Linked DNA regions of Macaca mulatta. The protein of the gene in region 2 purifies or fractionates together with the protein of the main gene of each other region. This does not show direct contact. Links are inferred from orthologs where the notes say so. Each region holds a gene or a part of one and is shown on either strand. Other genes may lie near its edges. The genes, in order: SHCBP1, KIF23, ECT2, ARF6 and RACGAP1.

Region 1 (3,515 bases), on a different chromosome or scaffold from region 2:
GACTGAGGTGGGAGGATTGCTTGAGCCCAGGAGTTCAAGACCAGCTTGGGCAACACAACAAGGCCCCCATCTCTATGGAAAAATTGTGTCAAAAAATTAGCTGGGCAGTGGTGGCACATGCCTGTAATCCCAGCTGATCCAGAGGCTGAAGCAAGAGGATGACTTGAGCCCCGCAGTTCGAGCCTGCATTGAACCATAACTGCACCACTGCACTCCAGCCTGGGCAACAGAATAAGACCCTGTTTCCAAAAAAATAAAAACACAAAACACAAAACTAGTCATATTTGCCCAAGAATAAAAATCCTTCAGTGGCTTCCCACTGCTCTTAAAGACAAAAATGACTAGCCAGCTAACAAAGCCCCACACTGTCTGGGCCCTGCCAACCTCTCTAATCTCGTTTCCTAGGTCTCTCCCAGCACTGTCTGTGTTCCAGCCATGCTGGCCTTTCAGCTCCTTCAACACACTGAGCTCCTAAATCTGTTCCCTTCCCCACCCCTGCCTCCCCTTTCACCCAGCTAACCCAAGTTCAAATGTCATTATTCCAGGAAATAACCCTAGAACTGCAACTTGACCTAATCTTAGGACACTCTGTAATTCTTCACAGCACTGACTGCTATTTCCAATCATGCAGACAACTGTGCGTGATTATCTCTTCAAGGCTCATCTCCCACCTTTAGACTAACAGCTCCCTGATGATGGTGTGTCTCATGCACCAGACATACTCCACCCTTGACTAAGGACCTGGCACTCAAATATTTATTGAATCAATGAACGAGTGAAATCCCTCATAATTTGACCCTCTCTGGGCACTGACCCAAATCTCAGCCCTCAAAATGCAGTGTACATTTAACCAGGCTCCTCTGCAAATAATACTACTAAATAACATTCCAGATACTTATTTTTCTACCAACTTCTATGCCCATAGAGATTAGCTCTCTGATTCCTAATTTCCTAAACTTATCAGTTATCTCTTTATCTTCAAATGTTTCAATTGACAGATTTTTTTTTTTTAATGAGAAAAATAGAAGAGAGTTATTTGGGTTCCAGACAGAAACCGGTTCATTAGATTCACTCTGCTTGGCCCAATACTGAACATCTAGGGTTAAATGTTCTTGCATACAATTAGAAACTGTCCGTAAGATGTTGGCAGCAGGGCCTGAAACATTCTGCTTCTGTGCAGAGCATTCGAGTTAAGCTCAGCAAAACTAGGCTAACTTACTAATGGTATAGAAAATGGAAAGTACTTTTTATACTACAAAACACCAAGCAATATTATTTACATTATGGTCATTATATATTACTCAAATGTTATACTCAGATATTTGACTGTGTAGGGGTCAGACGAGATAGGCACCCCTAACCCCCGCATCATTCAAGAGTCAACTATACTAGTTTTGTCAGCTTTTCTATTAGTTTGAAATTATCATAAAATGACTTAAAACGTTTTTAGGCCAGGTGCATGGTGGGTCACGCCTGTAATCCCAGCACTTCGGGAGGTAGAGGCAGGTGGATCACCTGAGGTCAAGAGTTTGAGACCAACCTGGCCAACATAGTGAAACCTCGTCTCTACTAGAAGTATAAAATTTAGCCGGGCATGGTGGTGGATGCCTATAATCCCAGCTACTCAGAAGGCTGAGGCAGGAGAATCGCTTGAACCCAGGAGGTGGAGGTTGCAGTGAGCCAAGATCACGCCAATGCACCCCAGCCTGGACAACAGAGCAAGACTCTGTCTCAAAATTAAAAATAGAAAAAAATGATTTAAGACATTAATTTTTTTTAATTTAAAAAAGATTATCCTATCTTTGGATATTTTTGAATACTGCAATGACCAAGTTTACAGTTGAGTTTTAAATCTGGGTCTAACACAGACCAGAATTACTTCATTTCATCCAAAGTTTCTGGCCACAAGGTTATTTTTCTCAACTTCTTTTCCTACCTGACATGCTCAATTGCAAGGGCTGTCTGGTCAAACACTCCCGAATCATCAAACACCACCCAGAGCTCCTGCAGGGGCAACCGATGTTCCTTCAGATCGAGGAGCTCCTTCATGCACTCCATGGTAAAAGTGCTCACTTGAGAGTCACAGAGGTATGGTTCAGCAAGCCTCACCACTGCCTTCAAGGCTGCAAAGTCCACATCTGTGGCCTGAAATTTAAAATAATGAGACTTAACACATGGAAATCAAAATTAAGATATACCTATAAGATACTACTGACAATCTGATTTTTTTAAAAGCATACAACGTGGGTGGGGAGCCTTTACCCATAACATAAAGGATGAACAAATCAGGCTGGCTCATGGAGCTTACACTGTAATCCTCATGGAGCTTACACTGTAATCAGGGAGATCAATAAACACAATGATAACGAGTAGGTGACAGAGAATAACTAGCAGGGGTGGGGATCTGGTTCTGCTGAGATGGCCAAGGAAATCAGCTCTGAGCCAAGCTGAGGAGGATGAGAAGGAAGCAGCCATGTGAAGAGCAGGGAAAGCGCAAAAGGCCTGTGCCAGAGACAGGCTTGGCAGCTGAACGAGCGGGAAGGCAGTCCTTGCTGGAGCCAAAGGGAGGAAATGGAGGAAGGGGGTGGTGTGCAGTGGAGCAGCAAGACATGAGGTGAGAGAGAGAGAGGCAACAAGACAAGGACATGAAGGACATCTGAAGGAGCTTGGATTTTACGTGTTTTCTATACAATGAGAAGCCATAAAGCCAATACTAAGCCCTTGGTAAAGACAATGCATTAGGAGTTTTAAGCAGAGAAATGGCATGCTTCTGTTTTGAAACAATGACTTTGACTGTTTTCAGAGAACGGACTGGCAGGGGGCGCCCTATCATAACCAAACGAATAGGCCTGAACTTCAACCAAAAAATATTAGCATAATCCAAAATTTTAAAACTCACAAGCAATAGCTGCAATCCACTGCCTCGTACATAATCACTGCAGTATGTGATGCCATTTTCTAAGGGAGCTGCAGCGACAACTTGTATTCACATACCCTGGTTTGACATTTTAGGTTACTAGGGCTTTTTGTGGTCAGTTAACAAACACTGAGAAAAATTCAAAGCTGTAATTAGAATGCAAATATAATGTAAAAGGCCTAGTCAGCAGAAGAATAAGATTGCTTTTACATTCTGCAATGGGACACAATGTCAAGAGATTAACCACATATAAACAAACTTGCTATGCAAAAAATGGGCTAGTTTTAAAATGCCACTTAGCGGAGGTTGCAGTGAGCCAAGATCATGCCACTGCACTCCAGCCTAAGCAACAGAGTGAGACTCCATCTCAAAAACAATAAATAAATAAAAATGTCTCTTAGGTTTGAGCTGCTTAACGAATTACAATTAAGAAGTTAAAAACTTTTTTGAAACCATTAACTTCATAATTAGGCCTAATTTTTTAAGTGATCTCAAATACCTTCTTTTAATTAATTTATACCAGTTTAATTCCCTGGTAACAACTCCTCAGTTGCCTTTAAAATTTGCAGAACACTTCCTGCAACATGGCAATGAGATG
Region 2 (3,515 bases):
TTTTGATGTACTATACTTTAAAATCAGAATATTATCTCATCTCTGAGTTCTTACATGAAATACATTTTAAATAAATTGTGACCTTTAAGAAAGCAAGAACACTTCAATTATCAAGGCTCTCTAAATACGATTAATAAAATATCCTGTAAAAACAGCTTTAGAGTTCAAAAAGAACAAACAATCTTGGAACTGAAAGGATACACATAGGACAATACTGAGAAGATAGATGACCTCACAGTCCTCATGAATGACTCCCTCCCTTCAAGGTAAAGAAAACTGAGGCCCAAAGGTGAAACTTCTCTGAGCTCATGGAGTTAATTAGTATCAAAGCCATCGTCAGTGCAGTGTTTTTGTTTTCTTTCTTTTTTTTTTTTTTTTTGAGACAGAGTCTTGCTCTGTCACCCAGGTTGGAGCGTAGTGGCGGGATCTCGGCTCACTGCAACCTCTGCCTCCTAGGTTCAAGCCATACTCCTGCCTCAGCCTCCCGAGCAGCTGGGATTACAGGCGCCTGCCACCACACTGGGTAACTTTTGTATTTTTAGTAGTGATGGGGTTTCGCCACATTGGCCAAGCTGGTCTCGAACTCCTGATCTCAGGTGATCCACCTGCCTTGGCCTCCCAAAGCACTGGGATTACATGTGTAAGCCATCATGCCGGGCCGCAATGCTCTTTTCATTATATAATGTTGCCTTCTGTCAGAAAGCAGTGATTATTTTTAATCCCCATCAAACCTTTTTATACCTACTTGATACCTTTATTTATACATACTTGAAATTTACTTAAAGAAGTAAAACTCAGTAAATCAGTGTTTAACCATATTATATCCTCAAAGACCTGCTCCTCCATAAAACCCCCCCAGACCATGCATTCTTGCTGAAGCCATATTTACTGTCTGATGAACAGAACATATAAGGTACATATTCCTTGGAAGTTTACATTATAGTAGAAGAAAGACAATAAACAGGTAAATAAATAGATTGTGGTTAAGTAATATAAAGGAGGTACACAGAGTACAGATCAGGGGAGAGGGGCTGTGGGGTGCTGTTTCTGATTGCGCAGTCTATATGACCTGAGGTGACATTTAAGCTGAAACCCAAGAATGACCCATGCTAAGGTCCAGAAAAAGTCCGGGTTAAGGCAACAGCTAACAGCCAGGATTCTGCCTTATCCAAGGAACTCAAAGGATTGGATAAATACTAAAAGATGGATGAGGGTGGAGGGTGGAGAGACAGATGGGAGGCGGATGAAGCAGGATTTTGTCTGTTTAAAGATTTTATTCCTTGAAAGGTTTTGAATAGGAAAATGATGAGATTTTATGTTTTAAAAGAACACTGTCTGCTCTGTAGAAATGGATTAGAGAAGATTTCAAGTGGAGGCAGTTGGGCTTTGGCAGTCGTGTCAATGATACCCAAAGCACACTCAGCAAACCAATGCCTGTCTGAGAACTGTTACAAGACTACTTAAATGTTTAGAAAGTTGTTTTTTCTTTGTTTGTTTTTTGAGATGGAGTTTCACTCTTGTTGCCCAGGCTGGAGTGTAATGGTGCGATCTCGGCTCACTGCAACCTCCGCCTCCCGGGTTCAAGTGATTCTTCTGTCTCAGCCTCCCGAGTAGCTGGGATTACAGGCACGCCCCACCACGCCCGGCTAATTTCTTTGTATTTTTAGTAGAGACAGGGTTTCATCATATTGGTTAGGCTGGTCTTGAAGTCCTGACCTCAGGTGATTCACAAGCCTTGGCCTCCCAAAGTGCTGGAATTACAGACATGAGTCACTGCGCCCGGCCAAATGTTTAGAAAGTTTTACAGGCATTTGACACTGCCCAATTATCAGTATTTCAGCCCGTATTCAATAGGCTCATCTCTATGAAGAGATTATGAACTAGTTCCCTGTTGTCTAACTCACACGGGCACAGTGTACAAAAGTCCCAGCTGTGATGCGTTAAAAATAAAAAAGCTACTCCTTCATTACAGTAGCACTGGTCTCAGTGGTTAATAATGGGGCTCAGACTAGGGTGGTGGCAGTGGAGATGGAAATGAAAGGACAGTTTCAAGACACATGTTGGAATATAACTGATAGGAGCTATTAATGAACTAGTTATGAGGAGGGGCAAGTAAACAGTAGGTACCAGGTTTCTGGCTTGAGCAACTGGACAGATGACAGTGCCATTCTTTGAGAAGAAAACAAGGGAGGAAGTATTTATAAAGGGAATAAGAAAAATCAAGAACTCTTTTTTGGGCATGTAAAATTTGAGATGCACATGTGACATCCAAGCAGAGATATCAAGTAAGTGGCTGAATGTTTAGAGCCAGAGAAAAGGTTTCGGCTGGAGATACAGGGAGAGCTGGAGCGGGAAACAGGGGAGTGCTGCTGACAAACAGGTTATAATGAGGATGAAGAGGTATACATCAAATTTAGCAGCAAAGAGGCCACTGGTATTCTTCTGAAGAGCAATTTCACAGGAATAGTAGGCACAAAAGAGTGAGTGATAGCTAGAAGTAGAAATGGTAGCCTGCCTGAATTAATCCTACTGCATTCCCACGGTCCCCTCATCTTTAGCACACCTAACTTTCTGTCTTATTTACATGAGAATTATTTGTTTACCATATGTCTTAAGTTATAGACTTTCTAAAGGCAAGGAGTATATCATGCTCATTTTTTTAAAATCTCCTTCCCGCCTCCAGCTATTAGCTTAGCACATTTGCTAAATGGTATTTTTGAGTTGGTTCAAAATTTTACTAAAAATAAAAACACTGCCTAGGAGATTGATGCAAGCATACAATGCCTATTATTAAATGTTACTTTAATTTCCACACATGAAGTTGTATATATAAAACTGCCTAGTACAATCATGTATCATTCCACATTAAATCATCCCTAACACATGCTCTAAAAACCAATAATACTCAGGGTAAGAAATTATCTGCTAAAAGCAATCCTCTAACTCCAGCATATCAAAGATATGTCTGTGCATCGCAGAAGTCAAAAACACTTTAGATACAGTGGTTATAATGAAGTAAATAAGTCTTTCGAAAATGTGGGCTCACAAATGAACTTTGTTACATTTAAAACTGTAAGTCATTCAGGAAACAACATATTGAGAAAAAACAACTTGGTTCAAATCAGAATTACCTCCTTATAGTCTCCATTTCGGTTGAGTCTATAGCCCTCAGGAGTATGAAGCTGAACAGTTGTGTTATTGATCACTTCTATGCAACACTCTTGATCAGGAAAGCCCAGTGGGCGCACCCTACAGTATACCTGAAGAAATAAGAAGGTGCTTAAATAACAAAGTTTGATCTTTTGCCTGACTTTTCACTTAAGCTTCTCATTCATTCCTTCATTCATTCAACAAACATTTGTGGTCTCTCAGTTTTAGAGCTCTGTATCTCCAAGAGCTATGAAAATTAAAATCTGCTACTTGAGATTGACAAATACAAACATATATTAGATATGAGAAAACTTTAAATACACACAAAATTAAAATAAATTTTGATAATAAAAATCAAATTGCAG
Region 3 (4,155 bases), on a different chromosome or scaffold from region 2:
GGAAAGTCTGTTGAGCAGAAAGCGGTGCACAAAGGAAGTAGGGCTGCTTCTCACAGTAGCTTAATATGTTTTCAGTGATGAACATTTTTGGAATGCTGGGCACACCCAACTTCCAAATATGCAAGCACATTCCAAATGGAAATTTCAATTCTTGTTTTTCTTTTCTTCTGCCCTAACAGTTATCACAGCATTTTAATGAAGGTCAGACTTAAATACTGATAAGCAGGGAAACCAATAATTACCAGATTGCTTCATTCATTTTGTGGACAGCATTATAAACTTTTCCGGCATTCTAAGATTGCCTGACAAAATTAGAAAAAATTATTAAGTCCCCACGACCTGCTTGAGATGCTCACAAGTGTTCCATCCCAAAGTACACGTTTCCCTCTTCTTATTGGTATTTAGGTTCTGGCATCTGATTCCCCTTTCTTATTTATATTAGCCTTCAGGTGGGAACTATGCATAAACCCACCTGGTGGGGGTGTATTTTTCTTAAGAGATTGTGTTATATGGTATCATATTTAGAGAATAAAGAAATTATTTTCATAATAGCAACTCTAATCACAGGAAAAACTTGATAAATTCTTGACTAGACTTTAGGGGAAAGTACAAGTTCTTAGTGGGCGGAGGGGGGCAACGAGGAGGCAATTTGGCTCCAAAAATTCTTGAATCTAGTGGCATATTTTTATCAAATGCAAGCTTATCTTTTTAAAAATCCGAGAATTTTTCAAATTTCTAAGAATTGATTCTAACCCGCGATATTCCCTAGATGGGAGCGCAGTGGTTTAAATAATAGGATTTAAATAAGAGGCTGCTGATTCGAAGTCCACCTGGGGAGCCCGAGTTCTAGGACCGGTCCTTGGCCCTGCCACACGCCAATACAACTATCAAAGTCAAAATCCCTTAACTCAAATTTAAATACATTCGTAAAGCAGAAAGCATCCCGATAGGAAAATCCTACAGCTCACAGCAACCAGCAGGGAAACATTTATCTCTGGCGGCACTGATTTAAGTTTAGAAGATTTGGTATCGTTTAAAAAAAAAAAAGCTGGGTGGGGCCGAGGAGAATCCACCCAAACTTTCCTCAGGAAATAGGATGTTTACTGAGTAAATACGCGGTAGTCACAGAAACACCTGCTACTCCTATAAGAGCTCAGGAGCCACCACCGCCACCTCCTGGCCACATCCGGGCACTTCCCTGCAAACTCCTGACGACCCGACGTCCGAGCCGTTGGGCTTATTTGAAACACACGCACAACCAATCAAGCGGCGCCTGCCGGGAGGTGAAGAGCGTCGACCAATCACCGGCCCTCTGGAGACTCCTGCCTATGGGAAAGAGGTTGACATCACACGCCAATCGGCATGGCTCTTAGAGAGAGCAGCTTACTTTTTGAATCGGTTGTGGCGGCGGCCGGCAAGGAATGGCGGTATCTGTGAGAGGAGTCGGCCTTTGAAGAGTTGGAAGTCCTAGGGCTTTTTTGAGGGTGGTAAGGACTCTTTGTGAGTGAGGGAGGTGCAAGTGGGCGAGCGGCTCCAGAGCCAAGGGCTCTTTTGCCTGCGGTCGACGTCCCCGCCCCTAGTGACCGCGAATTCCGGAGCGCCCCAGCTCTGGCTTCCCGGCTCCGGGAACTGCCTCGCCGCACCCCACCCCCAGCAGCTGGGCCCTGACGCGGAGTGGGAGCCCGAAGCCCCCAGTATTGCTGGGCATCTTCGCCCTCACCTGTTGGCTCTTTTGGACGGAAGAGTGTGGGTGAAGGGAGGGAGTTGGGAAAGGGATTTTGGCAAGCCGCGCAGCCCTGTGGCTCTGGAGGCCGGCACTTGAAGCCTTTGGGGGCTTATCTCAGAGTGTGCAGTGGTTTTATTCTAGGATTCATCCTGGCTTCTTTGCGGGAAGTTTAGTTTTTCGTTTTTGCAAGATAAATCCAGGCCATCCGCCCCTCTTCCTCCCCAGCCACCCGGCACAGCTGTGTCTGGCTTAGTGGTTAAAGGCGCAGCCTCTGGATTCAGCCCGGCTTTGAATACCTCTTTTACCCCTTACTAATAGTTTGACTTAGGGGTAGTTACTTAACCTCTCTGTTCCTAGGTTTCTTCATCTATACATTGAAAATAATAATAGTACCTGCCTCTTAGGATTACTGCAGAGATTAAAAGGTTTAGGACAATGTCTGCCACGTATTAAGCGTTAAGTAAATGTCAGTTGTTAATAGTAACGTTATTGTTAATAACACCACCATTATACCCAGGATTGCATTTTAGTCCTTCACCTTGGAAGATGATTACCTAAAAAGTATTTAAGTAAAAGGAAACTTGAATGTTTGTTTACATGGCAAATTTTATCTCTGGGATAAAAGGGGGCATGTGTTATAGTGTGTTTAGCTAGAAGCTCTTTGGGTCTGTTCTTGGGTGAGAAGCCGTGTAGGTTTATGAACACTGATCCTATTGTGCTTATTTTAAAGGCTTCTGGAATACAGTAACTTGAAAAAAAGTGATTAATATATTTCAATTTCTAATCAGACTGTTGGATGTTAGTCATCAAGTTACCATGCATCTCTTTTTCTCTATAAATTTTGAAGCTGTTTTGGCAATAAATTGATCATATACAGTGTCATCAGGGACAATTTTAATTATTAATCATCTGCTTTTGATCATCTACGCTCCCTCCCTTTTATTAATCATCTGCTTTTGATCATTTGTTGTGCTCCCTCTTAAAGAGGGATGCATAGGAGAAAAACGTAAATATTTTCAATTTTTTTTTTTCTTAAGACGGAGTCTACCTCTTGTCACCTAGGCTGGAGTGCAGTGGCAGGATCTCGCCTCACTGCAACCTCCGCCTCGCGGGTTCTAGCGATTCTCCTGCCTCAGCCTCCTGAGTAGCTGGGATTACAGGCGCCTGCCACCACGCCCAGCTAATTTTTGTATTTTTAGTAGAGACGGGGTTTCGCTGTGTTGGCCAGGCTGGTCTCGAACTTGTGATCCGCCCGCCTTGGCCTCCGAAAGTGCTGGGATTACAAGCGTGAGCCACCGCGCCCGGCCTTTCAAATGATATTTTTGATTTCCCTCCTCCAGTCCTTAAAGCAGGTTAGCTCATCTCCTGACTTTTTTTTTAAACCACCTTTTAAGGGGACTTCGAATGAAAGCCACATTAATGCATTTTCATTGGAAAGGGTTGAGTGTAGAAGACTTAAAATAATAGGGCTGGATAGAATTTATCATTGATTCTAAATTAAGATTGTTACAATTATTGGACCGCTCCTTTGGAGAGCCTTAGAATAATAATTGACATGGATGTATGGTAAAGCAATAAGAAATATCCATATTGTGAATATTACATGAGAATAGTTGTTTGTTGTTCACTTTAAGACATCTAATCAGTTTTCATATTAACTAGATTTGAGTTGTAGTACTACGTGTGTTCCATCACTGGCTATGTGCAGGGCTGAGACAGGAAGCTGAGTTGCCTGATTTTGAAGTGTCACATGACACGATAAGACCTGTGCTGTTATTAGTGTGCAGGTTATTACATTCCTTATTTTCAGCATCCAAAAATGATGTTATGATACCTTACTGTTTCTTCACAGCATACAGTTTAAACTGTTACTTTGCTAAGACTCTGGAGGAAGGTATTTGTATATTTTATTAATCTGAAGAAGTAGGAAAGGGGAAAGTCTGACATGGAGCTCTTGTTAAAGGTGGGTCCTCTGTATCTTTGCCTAATATTTTAGAAATTTTCTCTCAGTAAAGTTGACTTATTGAAAATTGATAAAAATCTCTAAAAAAATTTTTTTTAGAGAGACAGGGTCTTGCTCTATCACCTAGGCTGGAGTGCAGTGGTGGGATCACAGCTCACTACAACCTCAAACTCCTGGGTTCAAGTGGTTCCCCTGTCTCAGCCTCTTGAGTAGCTACTATAGGCACTTGCCACCACACCTGGCTAATTTTTAAATTTGTTGTAGAGATGGGGTCTTGCTATGTTGCCCAGTCTGGTGTTGAAATTCTGGCCTCAAGTGATCCTCCTGCCTTGGCCTCCGAAAGTGCTGGGATTTCAGATGTGAGCCACCGAACCCACCCTGATGAAAACCTGTTAAACCTTTTATTCCCTGTCTAGCTTTTAAACTCTTCTTAAGTACTGGAAAACTTAAAAAAGGATTTTCTTTC
Region 4 (4,299 bases), about 76 Mb from region 2:
TAGGAACCAGATGCTGCTTTACAATTCTGCATCAAGCATTAACATTTGGTTCAAAATATTATCATAGTGGTCGCAATCCAGTTACTGGTCCTAACCAGCTAACCAAGTAATCTTGTTAGGATCTGGATATCACCAGCGAGCACACTGCTTACATATGAAGAAAAATAAGTTTACATTCATTGTCATCTGTAGGTTCTTTCTCTTCATCCTACGTCCCCTTTAATAGTCATCCCTCAAGTCTACACATCATTCATTCATCACGCTTCCTTCCTTAAAGGAGACAGTGTACTATTGAACCAACAGGATATCTTCATTATTTGCATGAGTTAATCCTACAAACAAAATTAAATACCTTTTTTATAAAACATCTTTTCCAGTGTTCTAATTGATGGAGATGTGGATCACTCATCTATAAAAATGACTTATAGCTTCAGCTTTATCAGTTGCTATAATGTGAAAACAGGAATGTGTATTTTTTTCAACTAGGTAAAAGGTGCATATAATTTGAATTGCTAAATGCTTTATTAATGAACAAAGTAAACCTTTTAGTAATTTTTAAGTTACTGGTCTCAGGCGTTTGAAACAAGGTCAAAGTATACATTCCAGTTTTGCCCAAAAGTCACTTAAAATATCTACAAATGTTTAATCTGTGTGTGGTATACACCATTATTGCTCCAATTCCTGGAGTCTATTTTTAAAGTTTAAAAAAGAGGGAAAACAGCAAAGTGACTAACTTTGCAGTGGAAAAAAAAAGTGTCCTTCATGGGTTACACTTTCATATTCTTATGCAGCGTTAAGTTAGCTACCTTGTGGGGAACTTGGGTTTTATTCCTACTCATGCATGATGTATGTTTCAGAACTTATTTGCTGACATTTCAGAGAACCTCTTACATTACCTGTTTAACATACTGAGGTGCAACTGGAACATATTACAATGATATTACTCATTACTCGCCACTGTGGGCTAAGTTTACTATACTGGTCTTAGATATAAAAGGTCACATTTGAAATTACTAAGTTAGAACTCATAAGGAAGGGGGGAAAGGCCTTAAGTATAAAAGACAAACGGCAGTTTGATTAAGCAATAATTTTCAGTTTACTAGATGAAACAGACTTGCAACATAGTCTGCATGAATGCAAAATAAGCCATCTACAGCAAGTGATAAGGAAACTGGGCAAAAAAGGAAAAAAGCATACATAGGAAAATGAAAGATTCTCTCGAAATAAAAAAATCAAACTATTATTACAAAGGACTTTACCAGGAACTGCTGTATTTCCCCCATCCCATCTGCTGGAAGTCAATAAGAGCATCTAGCAACTTTGTGTTCATGTCAAATGTCAGATCAGAGCATCCTAATGCAAAGCCAAAAAAAAAAAAAAAGGGAAGAAGAGAAACAAACAAAAGAGAAAACCCCCAAGCCCCCTCCCCCCAAACTGTAGAACAGTAACTCCAGAGTTCAAATTCAAAAGAAGAGAAAGTGGCAATTGAAAGAGGTGATGGTGGCGATAATCCTATGAATGGGTTTTTGATTTCTCTCCTTCCAGGGGATGGGTGGAGAATGCTCATTAAGATTTGTAGTTAGAGGTTAACCATGTGAGCCCCTCATAGAGTCCGTCCCCTGAGGTGGCACAGGAGGGCTGCACATACCAGTTCCTGTCCCGAATCCGGGTCAGGCCCAGTTTCTCCTGGATCTCGTGGGGTTTCATGGCATCAGGCAGGTCCTGCTTGTTGGCGAAGATGAGGATTATGGCGTCCCTCATCTCCCGGTCATTGATAATGCGGTGCAGCTCCTGGCGAGCCTCATCGATGCGGTCGCGGTCGGCGCAGTCCACTACGAAGATCAGACCTTGGGTCCCAGTGTAGTAATGCCGCCAGAGCGGCCGGATCTTGTCCTGGCCGCCCACATCCCATACGTTGAACTTGACATTTTTGTAAGTCACCGTCTCCACGTTGAAACCCACAGTGGGAATGGTGGTCACCGACTGGCCCAGCTTCAACTTGTACAGGATTGTTGTCTTGCCGGCCGCGTCCAGGCCCAACATGAGGATCCGCATTTCCTTGTTCCCGAAGATTTTGGATAGCACCTTCCCCATCGCGTCGGAGGAGCCGGGGCCGGGGGCATTCAGGTGTCCCGGGTCCCGTCAGCCAACAACGCCGCCGCCGCCGCGAAACCGAAACGAAGCCTCCCGGCCGCGAAGGCGCCTTTGCGGCCTGCGTGGGAGGTGCCTCCTAAGGGCAGAGGCCCAGGACTGCCGCTCACTCGGGCATCACCGACCGCACAACTTGATTCCTCCACTCGCCGCTGCCACCCGGGCCCTGAGTCTGCGCCGGGAGCCGCCGCCCTGCTGAGGCGCGGCCCGGCCCGGAACTGCCCTTCCCCCCGCAGGCGCCGCGCGAGCGCCGCCGCGGTTCCCGCTCCTCCGCCTTCCTCTCACCCCGAGGGAGAATGCGGCCCTCCGGCCCGCCAGCCGGCCTGCAAACACTGGGCTCACCACCGACCCAGGACACCCGAGAGGCAGCACGACTCCGGGGCCCCGTCAGGTCATGGATCCTCGCGGGAACTCGGTACGCTGCCTGCAGAGAAACAGAGAGGGAGAGGGGAGTTACCGCCAGAGATCCAGAGAGGAGTGAAGACAGAGGTGGCCCGCCTTTCCAGCTCGGTGCAGGGGGTTACCTCCAGCCGCCGCCCCGAGCGCGGGCTCCCTCCGGCCTCCAACTCCTCCTCCCAGTTCTGCCGCCGCCGCTGCCGGAAAAGGCGCCGAGGAAACCGCCTCACTTCCCCTCCCAACCACGCAGGCGCAGCAGAGGCCGACCGTTCGGACAAGAGCGACCTCTGTAAGGAGAGCGGCCCGCGCGCCTAGCGTCATGGGCGCCACGCGCCGGAGGGGCGGGGCTACGGCGTCTCGGAGGGCCCGCAGGTGCGGTTGGCCCAGAGACCTGCAACCTCGGACTCTGACCGGCGCCCACCTGTGGCTCTTCTAGCGTCTCGTTCCCTGTTTTTCTCTTCTGCGCTCTGCCCTCCCCTGCCCACACGAACCAAGGGACAGATCTACTGGGGGGGCTCCACAGGGTGGGGCCCACGGGCAGCCCACTCTCTCCACGAACAGAGCTGCCTCCAGGCCTGTTCCCAGACCTCGGTGCCCGCCAGATGCTGTGCGAGTTCCCTCCGCCCGCCCCAGCCTTCGCGCACCCTCCGCGCACCCTCAACTTCCCAGAGAAGCTCTGTTCGGTTTTTTTTTTTTTTTCCTTTTTCTCATCCCCTTGGCTTTCTTTATCCCTTGAATTTTGTGTGTTTTCTGAAAGACACGTGGGAGGCCAGTGTCTCGTGTGGAATCTGCCAGTCAGTGCAGCGCTTTCGGGGAGTTGAGTTTACTCTGTAGCTCTTTTGAATGTTTGAGCCCTGTCTGCCTATAGGTCTCGTCAAGACCAGCCCATGTTTCTTAAAAACTGCAGTATTTATCAAGAGTTCCTGTGCCTTGCCGCGTTTTCACCTTTTTAGAATGCGACATCTGTTCATCTTTAAATATCACTTTATTTTATATGGTTAGTAGTAGCTTCTCACCCACCTACCCATTCTTTTTTTTTTTTTTTTTGAGACAGTCTCGCTTTGTCGCCCAGTCTGGAGTGCAGTGGCGCGATCTCGGCTCACTGCAAGCTCCGCCTCCCGGGTTCAGGCCATTCTGCCTCAGCCTCCTGGGTAGCCCTCAGCTTCCGGAGTAGCTGGGGGTACAGGCGCCCGCCACCACGCCTGGCTAATTTTTTGTAGTTTTAGTAGAGACGGGGTTTCACCGTGTTAGCCAGGATGGTCCCGATCTCCTGACCTCTTGATCCGCTCGTCTCTGCCTCCCAAAGTGTTGGGATTACAGGCGTGAGCCACCGCGCCTGGCCTCCCATTCTTTAAGAAGCCTAGGCGGTAAAATATAGGATTTAGAATATAGAACGACCGCTTGTATGGCCTGGATCTGGCACTTAACCTTACTAAGTTTATCTCATGTGTAAACTGACCTTGCTAACTCCCCCAGTGAGGCTTAAATAATACAATGTGGAAGACTTTAGGGCACATTTTTGGTTTTTTGGTTTTTGTTTTGTTTCTGTTGCAGTCCAGTGGCACAATCTCGGCTCACTGCAGCCTTCTCATCCCGGGTTCAAGCAGTTCTCCTGCGTTAGCTTCCGGAGCAGCTGGAATTACGGGCGCCCACCACCAGGCCCGGCTAATTTTTGTATTTGTAGCAGAGACAGGATTTCACTGTGTTGGCCAGCCTGGTGTCGAAGTCCTGACCTCAGGTGATCCACCCACC
Region 5 (3,515 bases), on a different chromosome or scaffold from region 2:
GAGTGATATGAATTAGAAAATTATCATCATAATCAACTTTTTTTTTTTTTTTTTTTTTTTGAGACTGAGTCTCACTCTGTCAACCAGGCTGGAGTGCAGTGGTGCAATCTCAGCTCACTGCAACCTCCGCCTCCCGGGTTCAAGCGATTCTCCTGCCTCAGCCATTCAAGTAACTGGGATTACAGGTGCCCACCACTACGCCCAGCTAATCTTTTGTATTTTTAGTAGAGACGGGGTTTCACCATGTTGGCCAGGCTGGTCTTGAACTCCTGACCTTGTGATTCACCCACCTCGGCCTCCCAAAGTGCTAGGATTACAGGCGTGAGCCACTGGGCCTGGCCTTTTTCTGTCTTTTTTTGAGACAGAGTTTCACTCTTGTTGCCCAGGCTGGAGTGCAATGGTGTGATGGAGGTTGGCTCACTGCAACCTCCACCTCCCGGGTTCAAGCGATTCTCCTGCCTTAGCCTCCCAAGCAGCTGGGATTACAGGCATGCGCCACCACGCCCGGTTAATTTTTATATTGTTAGTAGAGACGGGGTTTCTCCACGTTGGTCAGGCTGGTCTCGAACTCCCGACCTCAGGTGATCCACCTGCCTCAGTCTCCCTAAGTGCTGGGATTACAGACGTGAGCCACTGCTCCCAGCCATAATCAACTAACATTTATTGAGCACTTAGTATGTGCCAAAAAATTTTCTAAGCCCTTTACACATATTTACATATGTAATTCTCACAGTAATCCCATAAGATAGGTTTTGTTTTCTTCATTTTAAGATGAGGAAACAGAAGCAAAAAGAGTTTAAGTAACTCATTTAAGGTCATCCAGCTGGAAGGCAGCAGTGTGAGGTAGTGGAAAGAACTTGTTTACAAAGAGCAGAAAACCTGGATGTTGGATGTTGGCAAGGCATGGTAGCTCATGCCTGTAATCCCAGCACTTTGGGAGGCTAAGGCGGGAGGATCACCTGAGGTCAGGAGTTCGAGACCAGCCTGGCCAACGTGGTGAAATCCTATCTCTACTAAAAGTACAAAAATTTGGCCAGGCATGGTGGCGGGCGCCTGTAATCCCAGCTACTTGGGAGGCTGAGGCAGGAGGATCATTTTAACCCAGGAGGCAGAGGTTGCAGTGAGCCGAAATCACACCACTGCCCTCCAGCCTGGGCAACAGAGTGATACTCCGTCTCAAATGAAAAAAAAGAAAAAAAGAAAACCTGGATGTTAAATGTGTCACTTACTATCATGTGGCTCAAAAATGTCAACTCCTCTGAGCCTCAGTTAATTTGCTTGGATTTTCATAAGGAAATCAAATGGTACAAAAGCAAAACATTTTGAAAATCTTAGGTGATATATTCAAGAAAAAATGTAAACATGTGTCACTAAAAAGTACTAACAATCGGCCAGGCACGGTAGCTCATGCCTGTAATCCCAGCACTTGGGGAGCTGAGGCAGGAGGAGCACTTGAGCCCAGGAGTTTGAGACCAGCCTGGGCAACATAGCAAGACCAGGTCTCTACAAAAAATTTAAAAATTAGCCGGGCATGGTGGCACACATCTGTATCCCAACTACTCAGGAGCTGAGGTGGGAGGATTGCTTGAGACTGGGAGGTTAAGGCTACAGTGAGCTATGATCACACCACTGCACTCCAGCCTGGGTGACAGAGTAAGACTCTGTCTCACAAAAAAAAAAAAAAAAAAGCACTAACAATTGCTTCAGAAAAGGTTGGTTTCTTTAATTTAGTATTACTCACAGAATGGAAAGAAACTTACCTCTGTAACCAATAGTTACTTCTGGAGAGTAAAATTGGAATGAGGAAGGAAATTTGACATTTAACTTTATAACACTAAAGTATTTAACTTTATTCCTGGTATTTATTACTTTCACAATTAAAAAATTAAAACATACCTAAAACAAAACGAACAATCACAGACTTACCGTCTTTGAAACAAAGTCATGCAGGCGCATCCCTCCATTACTCTGTGGCGTGCCCACACTGTCTGTCTCAGTTCTTGGCTCCAGCTGCCTGCTGTTCAGGGTGGAGTCACTGTTCCAAGGTTGTAAAGTACCTAGAAAACAAGCAACTTTTAAGCTTTGTTTCTTAAGTATTTTGCTGCTTCTAAATTTTAGCTCCAATTTTAATTGGGAGATAAACAGTAATCTGTCATCATAGCCAAAAGTGAGTACTAATGGCTATGTAAAAAAATAGTTTCAAGAAAAACTAAAGTTATGCAAGTAGGCTAGCAATTCAAAGGTAAAGCATGATACAAGCAGTTATCTGGTCCTCGGTATGCAGCAGTAAGAAACTACCCAATACATCCAATCCCTGCTTCAGGAGGGTTCTAAGAAACCAACTCTCCAAAATTTTACTAGCTGTTTTACACAGGCCAGTTTAGTCACAAATTCAATGGACCTGTTTTCCTTCGGCTCCTGGTCCAATATGGCACAGTCTCAATAGTGGACACAGCTTCGATGGGCCCACCATCATTGGGAACAGTCACTGTAGTTTTTGCAACTATGGATTCATTCCCCTGCAACAAAAGTAGTAATGAGAGAAAGACAAACAAAGCATCTAACTCACCTTCTACTATAGGGTATTTTGGAGCAGGTTAAAAATTCCTTAGTCTTAGCCAAGACTTAAGACCACAGTCTGAAACTCTTTTTTTTTTTCACTCTATCGCCCAGGCTGGTGCACAGTGGCACGATCTCGGCTCACTGCAACCTCCACCTCCCAGGTTCAAGGGATTCTCCTGCCTCAGCCTCCTGAGTAGCTGCGATTACAAGCGTGTGCCACCACACCTGACTGATTTTTTTTTTTTTTTTGAGACGGAGTCTCGCTCTATCACCCAGGCTGGAGAACAGTGGCCCAATATCAGCTCACTGCAAGTTCCGCCTCCCGGGTTCATGCCATTCTCCTGCCTCAGCCTCCCGAGTAGCTGGGACTACAGGCATCCGCCAGCACGCCCAGTTAATTTTTTGTAGTTTTAGTAGAGACGGGGTTTCACTGTGTTAGCCAGGATGGTCTCGATCTCCTGACCTCGTGATCCACCCGCCTCGGTCTCCTAAAGTGCTGGGATTACAGGCGTGAGCCACCGTGTCTGGCCGACTGATTTTTGTATTTTCAGTAGAGACGGGGTTTCGCCATGTTGACCAGGCTGGTCTCGAACTCCTGACCTCAGGTGATCATCCACCTGCCTAGGCCTCCCAAAGTGCAGGGATTACAGGTGTGAGCCACCACGCCCGACCTGAAACATTCTTATGTTGAAATCTCATGTTTGGCTGGGTGCAGTGGCTCATGCCTGTAATCCCAGCATTTTGGGAGGCCGAGGTGGGGAACATCACGTGAGCCCAGCAGTTCGAGACCATCCTGGGCAGCAAGGAGAGACTCTCCCTCTACTTTAAAAAGTAAAAATAAAGAAATCTCATACTTAAGAAGATAAACATAGGTGATGGGGGCATATATTCAAGCAACTAAGACTCACTCTGACAGTTATTTACTTAATCAGAGTAATTCCATTCACATGGAT

The links.
Region 1: the proteins of KIF23 (region 2) and SHCBP1 purify together in Homo sapiens (affinity purification with western blotting; 9 studies listed by BioGRID and IntAct, with this or other methods). This does not show direct contact. The link is inferred for Macaca mulatta from reciprocal best matches to the Homo sapiens genes KIF23 and SHCBP1.
Region 3: the proteins of KIF23 (region 2) and ECT2 purify together in Homo sapiens (co-immunoprecipitation; 3 studies listed by BioGRID and IntAct, with this or other methods). This does not show direct contact. The link is inferred for Macaca mulatta from reciprocal best matches to the Homo sapiens genes KIF23 and ECT2.
Region 4: the proteins of KIF23 (region 2) and ARF6 purify together in Homo sapiens (affinity purification with western blotting; 3 studies listed by BioGRID and IntAct, with this or other methods). This does not show direct contact. The link is inferred for Macaca mulatta from reciprocal best matches to the Homo sapiens genes KIF23 and ARF6.
Region 5: the proteins of KIF23 (region 2) and RACGAP1 purify together in Homo sapiens (co-immunoprecipitation; 10 studies listed by BioGRID and IntAct, counting the BioPlex papers as one, with this or other methods). This does not show direct contact. The link is inferred for Macaca mulatta from reciprocal best matches to the Homo sapiens genes KIF23 and RACGAP1.

The regions. Positions count from the first base shown.
Region 1 is NC_133425.1:42,038,934-42,042,448, forward strand, and holds part of SHCBP1 (SHC SH2 domain-binding protein 1), read right to left. Parts: intron 2,146-3,515; coding exon 1,937-2,145; intron 1-1,936. UniProt on the Homo sapiens protein: May play a role in signaling pathways governing cellular proliferation, cell growth and differentiation. May be a component of a novel signaling pathway downstream of Shc. Acts as a positive regulator of FGF signaling in neural progenitor cells.
Region 2 is NC_133412.1:47,026,560-47,030,074, reverse strand, and holds part of KIF23 (kinesin-like protein KIF23), read right to left. Parts: intron 3,261-3,515; coding exon 3,132-3,260; intron 1-3,131.
Region 3 is NC_133407.1:84,486,902-84,491,056, forward strand, and holds the start of ECT2 (protein ECT2), read left to right. Parts: upstream 1-1,352; 5' UTR 1,353-1,487; intron 1,488-3,578; exon of another isoform or gene 3,579-3,689; intron 3,690-4,155. UniProt on the Homo sapiens protein: Guanine nucleotide exchange factor (GEF) that catalyzes the exchange of GDP for GTP. Promotes guanine nucleotide exchange on the Rho family members of small GTPases, like RHOA, RHOC, RAC1 and CDC42.
Region 4 is NC_133412.1:123,126,043-123,130,341, reverse strand, and holds the start of ARF6 (ADP-ribosylation factor 6), read right to left. Parts: upstream 2,816-4,299; 5' UTR 2,676-2,815; intron 2,576-2,675; 5' UTR 2,095-2,575; coding exon 1,567-2,094; 3' UTR 1-1,566. UniProt on the Homo sapiens protein: GTP-binding protein involved in protein trafficking that regulates endocytic recycling and cytoskeleton remodeling. GTP-bound form plays an important role in the transport of multiple palmitoylated proteins form the Golgi to the plasma membrane.
Region 5 is NC_133416.1:57,172,527-57,176,041, forward strand, and holds part of RACGAP1 (rac GTPase-activating protein 1), read right to left. Parts: intron 2,520-3,515; coding exon 2,402-2,519; intron 2,058-2,401; coding exon 1,927-2,057; intron 1-1,926.